Linked DNA regions of Cricetulus griseus. The protein of the gene in region 1 binds, or shares a complex with, the protein of each later gene. Links are inferred from orthologs where the notes say so. Each region holds a gene or a part of one and is shown in the gene's direction. Other genes may lie near its edges.

Region 1 (3,807 bases):
TGCCTCAGCGTCCAGGGCTGTGAATGGGATGGGACAATTCAAACCGTGCATAGACAAGTATTCTCCCTCATGTCTTTCCCCCACCCCCAGCTGGATGGGCTCATCCATCGCTTCATCACGCTCCTGGCAGACACCAGTGACTCCCGGTCTTCTGAGAGCAGAGTGGCTGATGCCAACATGGCCTGTCGGAAGCTGGCTGTGGCCCACCCCATCCTGCTACTGAGGTGCTTACTCTCACAGCAGTGGGCACACTGTGGGGTTGGGGCTTCTTGTGGGAAGAGGTGACCAGGGGTACCTTTCTGTTGGCCCCCAGGCACTTGCCTATGATTGCAGCCCTCCTGCACGGCCGCACACACCTGAACTTTCAGGAGTTCCGGCAGCAGAACCACCTGGCCTTCTTCCTGCATGTGCTGGGCATCTTGGAGCTGCTGCAGCCGCGTGTCTTCCAGAGCGAGCACCAGGGGGCGCTGTGGGACTGCCTGCGCTCTTTTATCCGCCTGCTCCTGGTGGGTGCCAGGCCAGTTGGTTGTCCTCACATTCCTCAGCCCAGATATCCTGCCATGCCCCCTCCTGTCTTTGCTTGACTTCCTTCTGCTCCCACTGGAGAACCTGGAGCGAGGGCCAAAGCCAAGCCATCCCTCTAGTGGCTTCTGTCTCTGCTGTCTGGAGACCAACCCTGTACTGAGCCCTAAGCCCCAGCATCCCCTGCCTGGGGAACCCCATATCCTAGACCCCTAGTGCTAATCCCCTTTGTGTGCTGTTTGTTGGCATCACATGCCCTAGTCTGTACATCTTTGTTGTGATATTACAGAGACAGAAGTCAGGCTAGTGAGCTATAGAAGCAGGACATAACTGCAAATAGCACATGGGTGGCTGAGGCAGGAGGATTGCAAGTTCTAGACTGGCCTTGATTATAATATTGTGAGACTGACTATATATAGGTTAGACCATCTCAAAAAGAAAGAAAGAAGGAAAGCAAGAAAGAAAAGGAAGGGGGAAAAGCCCAGAGGCTGGAGCTTGGACTCAGTGATTAAGTGATTAGAGCAGTGGCTGCTCTTGCAGAGGACCTGGGTTTGGTTCCCAGCACTTACATGATAGCTCACAACCATTTGAAACTCCAGCTCCAGGGGATCTGTCGTCCTCTTCCGAACTCCGTACCGGACACTCATGTGGTACACAGACATATATTCAGACAAAACACTCATACAATAAAATCTAAAGCCCAAAGTGCCAAGCCTCAGTCAGCCTGACTTTGGGACCGGGGCTGTCGTGGGGGTCACTTGTCAAGTAGAGGTTCTGAGGAAGCCTCTGGTGGCTCTGCCTTTTCTACAGAACTACCGAAAGTCCTCCCGCCACCTGGCCCCTTTTATCAGCAAGTTTGTGCAGTTCATCCACAAGTACGTGGCCTGCAGTGCACCAGCAGCCGTGACCTTCCTGCAGAAGCACGCGGAGCCGCTCCAGTGAGTTCCCACGCTTGCTGTGGCTCTCTGGTGGCTCCACACTTGAGCCAGGAAGGACAATTCAGATGTGACTGTCCTGGTTGGAACTGTAGCCCTCATCCCCACTTGCTCCTCCTCACTCTCCCTCCCCCCCACCTATTTTCCACTGACCTCGCCCCAGATGATTACCTGCCACTCTTCCCTGCCTGCCCTCCTCCAGGGCAGTGGCTCTCAACCCTGTAATTTTGCTACTGTTGTGAATCATAATGTAAATATTTTTAGAGACAGAGGTTTGCCAAAGGGGTAGTGGAGAACCACTGCTCTAAAGTGAACCCATGCTCTCTCCACAGTGACCTGTCCTTTGACAACAGTGACCTGGTGATGCTGAAGTCTTTACTGGCGGGGCTCAGCCTGCCCAGCCGGGACGGGAGAACTGACCAAGGCCTGGATGAGGAAGGGGAAGGTGAGGGGACAGGTGGGCTCTTGGGTGGAGAGCAGGAAGGGTTCTGGTGGGTCTGGCTGAGCCCTGAAACTTCACCTGTCTCATGCATGTGCATGGGCGGTGCCATGACAAACTGAACAGAGCCATCCTGTGGGAATAATGTTGGGTTCTGCTCCCATGTCAGATGTTAACCTAGATGCTTCCTGGGCAGGCTGGTCCTTAGGTTAGGGTCTTTTGCCTTGCTTGCTTGATGGTGGCACATGCCCCACAGTCAGGGCTCTGTCCTTTGCTGACATGGTCACTAGCAGGTGAGTGATGACTCAGCCAAGGATGCCTGGAGGCTCGGTGATTGTGTCTAGGCCCTGCTGCCTGTGTTGGTTAGATTGACTGGCCGGCCTTTCTGAAAGCACACAAAAGGTATTTCATAGAGGACACACTATGTCCAGACACCAGTCTTCCATGTGGAATGGCACCTTGAGGGCAGAAGCAAGAGAATGCTCTCCTAGACTGTCTGTAGGTATAAGGAAAACATAGCTGTGTCTCCCAGGGTAGCCCAGCATCCTGAATGCCACCTTCCACATGACACCGCCCCCCCCAACCCCGTAACCACCACATGGACCAATCACAGTGTTGCATCCTGGATAGTGGCCAGTGTGCCTCTGGGGTGTGAAAGGTTCAGGCAGATACCTAGGCAGCTTAAAGGGCTTTGTGTTGTATGGCCACATCATGGCCATCACTCATTACGGGGCTTCGTAGGGACTCAGTGCACATGCTCAAGCTCCCCCTTTTAAGCCTGAGACTTCATTCATCCTCTCTCTCTCTCTCTGTTTCTGGTGGTTGACCACTAATTCTGCTCTCTTACTCTCTGCCCTGCTCTGTTCTTCCATTTTTCTCTCTCCCCCTCTCGCTGTCTCGCCTGGTAATAAACTTTATGTTTAATGTATCCTCCACGGTTCATGTTCCATCTCTCGACTTCTAATTTAAGCAAAATAACAACACTATGGTTAACGTATCTCTCATTCTCACATCTCATCTTGCGCCCTTTTTGTATTTTTAAACTTAAACAAGAGAACAGGGTGGGCATAGTCTTTCCATGGAGACTGCAGGTCTGGCTGAGCTTTGTGTTCAGCCATTGCCTGACCCTGACTAACCTTTCACAGATGAGCGATCAGCCGGCTCCCTACCCCTGGTCAGTGTCTCCCTCTCCACTCCACTGACTGTAGCTGACGTGGCTCCACATATGAAGAGGCTTTCCCGGGGCCAGGCTGTTGAGGGTGAGTGAGCCAGCTGCTCCTAGACCACCCTGGATGCACTGTGCTGTTTGCTCAGATAGCACAATGAACCCCCAAAAGCAATGAGGTGCTTAAGGAAGACCCAGCAGGGTGGCTGATAGGACTGTCAGTTTTCAGAGGAGAACCAGGGATTGGGTAGAGGGGACTGCTCCAAGTATCCTGATCATAAGGTGAGCCACTTGTCAAGTTCTCCCTGGAGACCAGTGTGAAGTCAAAGGGAAGGGGAGGGTATACTGTCAGGGCAACCACAGTGCCCTGTGCATCTTGGGGAGCCTCTGGAGGACTGGGATACCTGGGAACTGGCCCTTCCTGTTTCTGGGTAGCTTAGGATAGAAAGGAGGGTCCCCCTAGGTCCTCCTAGACTTCCCAACCCGGCCCATTGTCCTCAGATGTGCTCGAGACTCTGAGCGACATAGATGAGATGTCACGGCGGAGACCTGAGGTCCTGGGCTTCTTCTCGGTGAGTAAGGCTGGGAGAACCTGTGATCTAGAGGGTGGCACTCATCCTGCGACATGTGAGCTGGGCACTGCCCCAACCTGAAGCAGGAAGCCAAGCAGGCTATCCCATTGCCCCGGTGCACCTTGGGAACAGTTGCCATTAGGCTGAGCCTCCATGGTTGCCTGGTGACACTCC
Region 2 (4,596 bases), on another chromosome or scaffold:
TGGCAGTGAAAACAACTTGTCATCAATCCTTGAAGTACTAAACACAAACCTTGGAAACTACTATCACCCACGATTTAACAGGTTTCTTTTTCTTCCAGAATCATTTTCTGGCTTTCAGTGTCTTTATATTTTCTTAGACTACCACAAACTCTTTGAAGTCCCGGCCCTCATTTTTTCATATATTAATTCCCACTAGCCCTAGTCTGCAGCAGATACTGGCTGTTAGTTCATCATTTTTTTTTTATAGTCTTAATCTCTAATAATCTCATGCCTCGCCGGGCGTTGGTGGTGCACACCACACTTTTAATCCCAGCATTGGAGAATTAGAGGCAGGCGGATCTCTGTGAGTTAGAGGTCAGCCTGTTCTCCACAGCGAGTGACAGGAGAGGCTCCAAAGCTACACAGAGACACCCTGTCTCAAAATACAAAACAAAACAAACAAAAAACTCATGCCTCTACTATGGTTCATTCCCACAAAACAGTATGCTATAATTTGTTTTTAATAAATTAAAAACTTTCCGAGTTCTTTTTTTCCCTCTGAAATATTAGGAAAAGCCCAAACAACAAGGGCAGATTAAAAAAAAAAAAAAAGTGTCACAAACATGCCACTTCAGTTGCCCAGCAGGCCAGAATTTCAGCATAGAGAAAATCCGGAAATGCAGGACCGGTGGGAAAGGCCCTATAAATACCTACAGTCTAACCAGGCCTCTATGTCCCAAATTCAACTTGTGTATCAGGCAGCGTCCTGCAGTTTTCCAACTACACTTGAGAACAATTCATACGTCTTGCAGGCGCAGATTGAAGGCTTCAGGTAATGTGACATGGGCAGAGAATTTTTCTGACACAATACTGGCAGGGACTGAAAGGCGGGTTTCCGGGAAATCTATTCTCTGGGTCACCTGCGCAACGTGGTCATCCTTTCCATTTTAAAACGAGGGCAGTGGATTAGAATCTGGCAAGCTCCTTTTTTTCTTAATATACTCTAGTGCCCAAACACGAGTGGAAGAGGGGAACTTGGTTGGGGAGGACCGCTGTTTTCCTGGTCCATACTTGAGTTCCCCTTCGTGTTTGCAGGGTTGGGGGAGGCACTCCAGGACTGGCTTCCCTTTCTGTGGGTGCTCTGACTCGCTGCAGCCGGAGCCGAATGACTGGCGGGGATTAGCACCAGGTCATAAACAACCTTTCACTTCCCCTCCCCCCTGGGCCGTCCCGGGGCCCGGCCTGCAACGGCCGCGAGGGCCTGCGCGGTTCCCTAGCCCCGGCCAGTTGGCTCTCCTCAGCCCTGCACTCTCAATCGCGACGCAGAGCCCTCGCCCACAGGCTGAGGGCGGCTTCCACTTCCCCTCTCCCGACCCTGTCACCGAGCACAGCCCAAAGGCCGGCCGCCCTGACACGCACGCCCACAGCCGCTGCCGCCCTGCGCGGGCCGACCCAGTCCCCGCCCCCATCCGCCGCGCTTCCGCGGCGTGTCCCCGCCCCTTCCCGGAGCCCGCCTCCCGGCTGCGGGACCTGCGGCCGCCCCTCGCGCTGGCTCTAGCGCGCACCCGGTGCCCCGCCTCCGCGCGTGCTCAATAACTGTCCTCTGAGTCTGCCTACAAGCTTCCCCCGCCCCTGAGCTGTTTGAATATGCTAATAAGGCTCTAAGGACCAGCCAGTAGAACTGCGGGCCTGCGCATCACGTGACACGAGTACGTGTCAGGGGCGGAGCCTACGTAGCCCCTGCCCGAGTTAAAACCGGAGAGTGAGAGAGAAAAGCGCTTCAGTAGCGAGAGGGGCTGAGAAAGTGGTGACACCGCTGGGGTGCGGAGGGAGTCCCTGAAACTTCTCCCAACAGCCCCAGGGCCAATCTCCCCTCAGCCCAGTCCCCTCTTCGCCAGATCCCTGGTCCCCACTCCCTGCACTGGGGGTGGGGTGGGGAACTGGGCCCGTCTCCCGCGGGGACACACACAGGGGCCGGGAGTGGGGACGGGACCCCCAGGCGGGGGGGACGGACGGACAGGCGTCCGTGCGGCCGCCCCAGCAGGCAGGCAGGCAGGCCGGAGGCAGGGGTACGACCGGGAGGACCTGGGCTGGGGAGTTTCCTCTCAACTATCGGGGGAGAAACTCCCCGCAGCCGGTGTTTTCCTCCCGGGGGCCGCGTTCCCCGCCCCGCGTAGCGGCGGTTGCCGCCGCCGCCGCCGCCGCCGGTGCTTCCACCTCTGCCATCTCTTCACCACCTCGGGCCCCGGTGTCCCCGGCCAGCACTATGCCCATCTTACTGTTCCTGATAGACACGTCTGCCTCTATGAACCAGCGCAGCCATCTGGGCACCACCTACCTGGACACGGCCAAAGGCGCGGTAGAGACCTTCATGAAGGTACCGACTGACCGAGCCCCGGCGGCGACCCCGACCCGGTGGCCCGCGGGGGGCAGGGCGGGGGGCGGCGGGGCTACTGCGGGCGCCTCGGGCGCGGGGACCCCTCCCACCGCGCGGGCGTGCGGGCGGGCGGGGCGAGCGGGCGGGCGAGCGGGCGAGCGGGCGGGCGCTGGGAGCTGGGAGCGGGCTCCGCTGGGCCTGGCCCATGTGGGGCTACTGTGGGTGCGGGGGTCGGCGGAGTGGTGGCCCTGTGTGTACGGTACTGTGGGGGCGGCCAGCGACCCTTCTGCGACTGGTAACCTCGCCTCTGTGCTTCCTTCTCTCCCTCCCGTCCCCACCCTGGCCCGCAGCTCCGTGCCCGGGACCCTGCCAGCAGAGGAGACAGGTATATGCTGGTCACTTTCGAAGAGCCGCCCTATGCTATCAAGGTAACAGCCCTCGCCCTCCCCCCTCCCTTCCCTGCTCCTTCCTAGCTCGCCCTCCCCGCCCCCCTCTTCATTATGCTCCCCTCCCCCACCGCGGCTCCCGCCTCCAGGTCCCTTCCCCTGTGGCCTCCCACCCCTCCCCAGCTCGGGAGCGCCGGCGCGGTGGCAGTTTCTGGCCCACCGCCGTCCCCTCCGGGTCTGGCTCGGCCTGGCGGTGGAGGCGCTACGATCAACATGGCCGACATTTCCCCTCCGCGGCGTGAGCGGCAGCAATGAACTGTGGGGGATATTTATTCAAGTTAGCCCGAGTGACAGCCGGGCCCAGCCTTGCCTAGCCAGGGTTTGCATTAAAAGGGAATCAGCCAAGCTGGCAGGGAAGCCAGGAGGGGGGCTTCGAGACTTGGTCATCACAGAGTGGAACTAGGAAGGCCACCGATTGGTGGGACAGCTGTGGTCAACTTAAGAAGTCCTGCTGCCATCTGCCTTCCACTAGTACCTTCGCAACACCCACCCCTTACACACAATTTGGAGGATGTTATGTTAGCGAATTTCCCAGTGAAGTTATTAAAGTATTAAGACTGTGTAGGGCAAGCAGGTTCATTCTTGGCCACCTTTGGAAGAGATTTCCTCACCCAGAGACAACAGTTATAACATGTGACCCAAGCCATATCAATCAAAAGTGAAGTTAACTATACAAACCCGAAGTGGAATGCCTGCTTGGTGGACATCACATTATAATCGGTGTCCATGTGTGCTGTGGCTTCAAATGATAAAAAAAATTCTTACATCTTTCTTTTCAGGCTGGATGGAAAGAAAATCATGCAACGTTTATGAATGAACTGAAAAACCTTCAGGCAGAAGGACTTACGACTCTTGGCCAATCCCTAAGGACAGCTTTTGATTTGTTAAATTTAAATAGATTAGTAACTGGCATAGACAACTATGGGCAGGTAGGTTGAATACTAAGGTAGAAAAGTTGTTTTTATTTATGTGTACAAAAACACAATCCAGTCCAAAAGTATGCAACATGAAATGCAAGTATAAAACATAACAAGGTTGAAATTTAGTGTGCACACAGTTCAAAACACCTAAGGTGTATGAGTTCCCTCATTTTCCCCTTTAAGTGTATTTCCCTGTAGACTTCGAATCTAAATTCTTGGCTATAAAGTTGACATGAATTTGGTTTCAGTCCCTCAAAGTTCATAAAAGACATCAAGGGGAAGATACCCTGTGAATACACCACTCTGAAACTATGCCACGTGTAGGTACATATGTAACTACTGCAGTGGGTCACAGCTGTCCCGTTGACTGCAGTTTCTTCTATATTAGTAAAGACATTGGAAGACATGACTGTTAGATGAGGGTTTAGCTTAACCTAGATTGTATACTTGCAAAGGTGAGATTTGTCAGTAGTGCAGTCATTGGTTGACATTCAGATGTCTCTTGAGGCCTATACTATTAGAAGTTACTATAGTAGGAAGTCTGAAAGTAATGACAGATTGAGAATTTTTAAAGTTTAAAATTTCAAAACCCTTGGGAAAATGTTTTCTGGGAAACATGAAAACTTGCCTGTCTTTCTGAAGCTCCTCAAAGTTCCTCTCATTTGTGAGGATGAGGCAAGAGCTTTAAGTCACAGCAGTCATTTACCAAGGAAATGTGAGATGATCCATTTATGATATGCTATCCTAGAAATAAAAGATAACAAAGAATATGTATTGCTGCACACCAGTAGTATCACACCCAAGAAATTCAGTATGCAAAGCACTATTACCATAATACTATATTTAGGAATATATGTTATATACTCTTCCCAAG

What was found.
Region 2: Ints1 (region 1) and Ints6 share a complex: the UniProt entries of both Homo sapiens proteins name them as parts of the integrator complex. The link is inferred for Cricetulus griseus from reciprocal best matches to the Homo sapiens genes INTS1 and INTS6.

The regions. Positions count from the first base shown.
Region 1 is NC_048597.1:76,395,618-76,399,424, reverse strand, and holds part of Ints1 (integrator complex subunit 1), read left to right. Parts: intron 1-90; coding exon 91-224; intron 225-313; coding exon 314-506; intron 507-1,332; coding exon 1,333-1,460; intron 1,461-1,789; coding exon 1,790-1,902; intron 1,903-3,041; coding exon 3,042-3,155; intron 3,156-3,562; coding exon 3,563-3,633; intron 3,634-3,807. UniProt on the Homo sapiens protein: Component of the integrator complex, a multiprotein complex that terminates RNA polymerase II (Pol II) transcription in the promoter-proximal region of genes.
Region 2 is NW_023276807.1:217,770,894-217,775,489, reverse strand, and holds the start of Ints6 (integrator complex subunit 6), read left to right. Parts: upstream 1-1,754; 5' UTR 1,755-2,245; coding exon 2,246-2,356; intron 2,357-2,706; coding exon 2,707-2,784; intron 2,785-3,581; coding exon 3,582-3,731; intron 3,732-4,596. UniProt on the Homo sapiens protein: Component of the integrator complex, a multiprotein complex that terminates RNA polymerase II (Pol II) transcription in the promoter-proximal region of genes.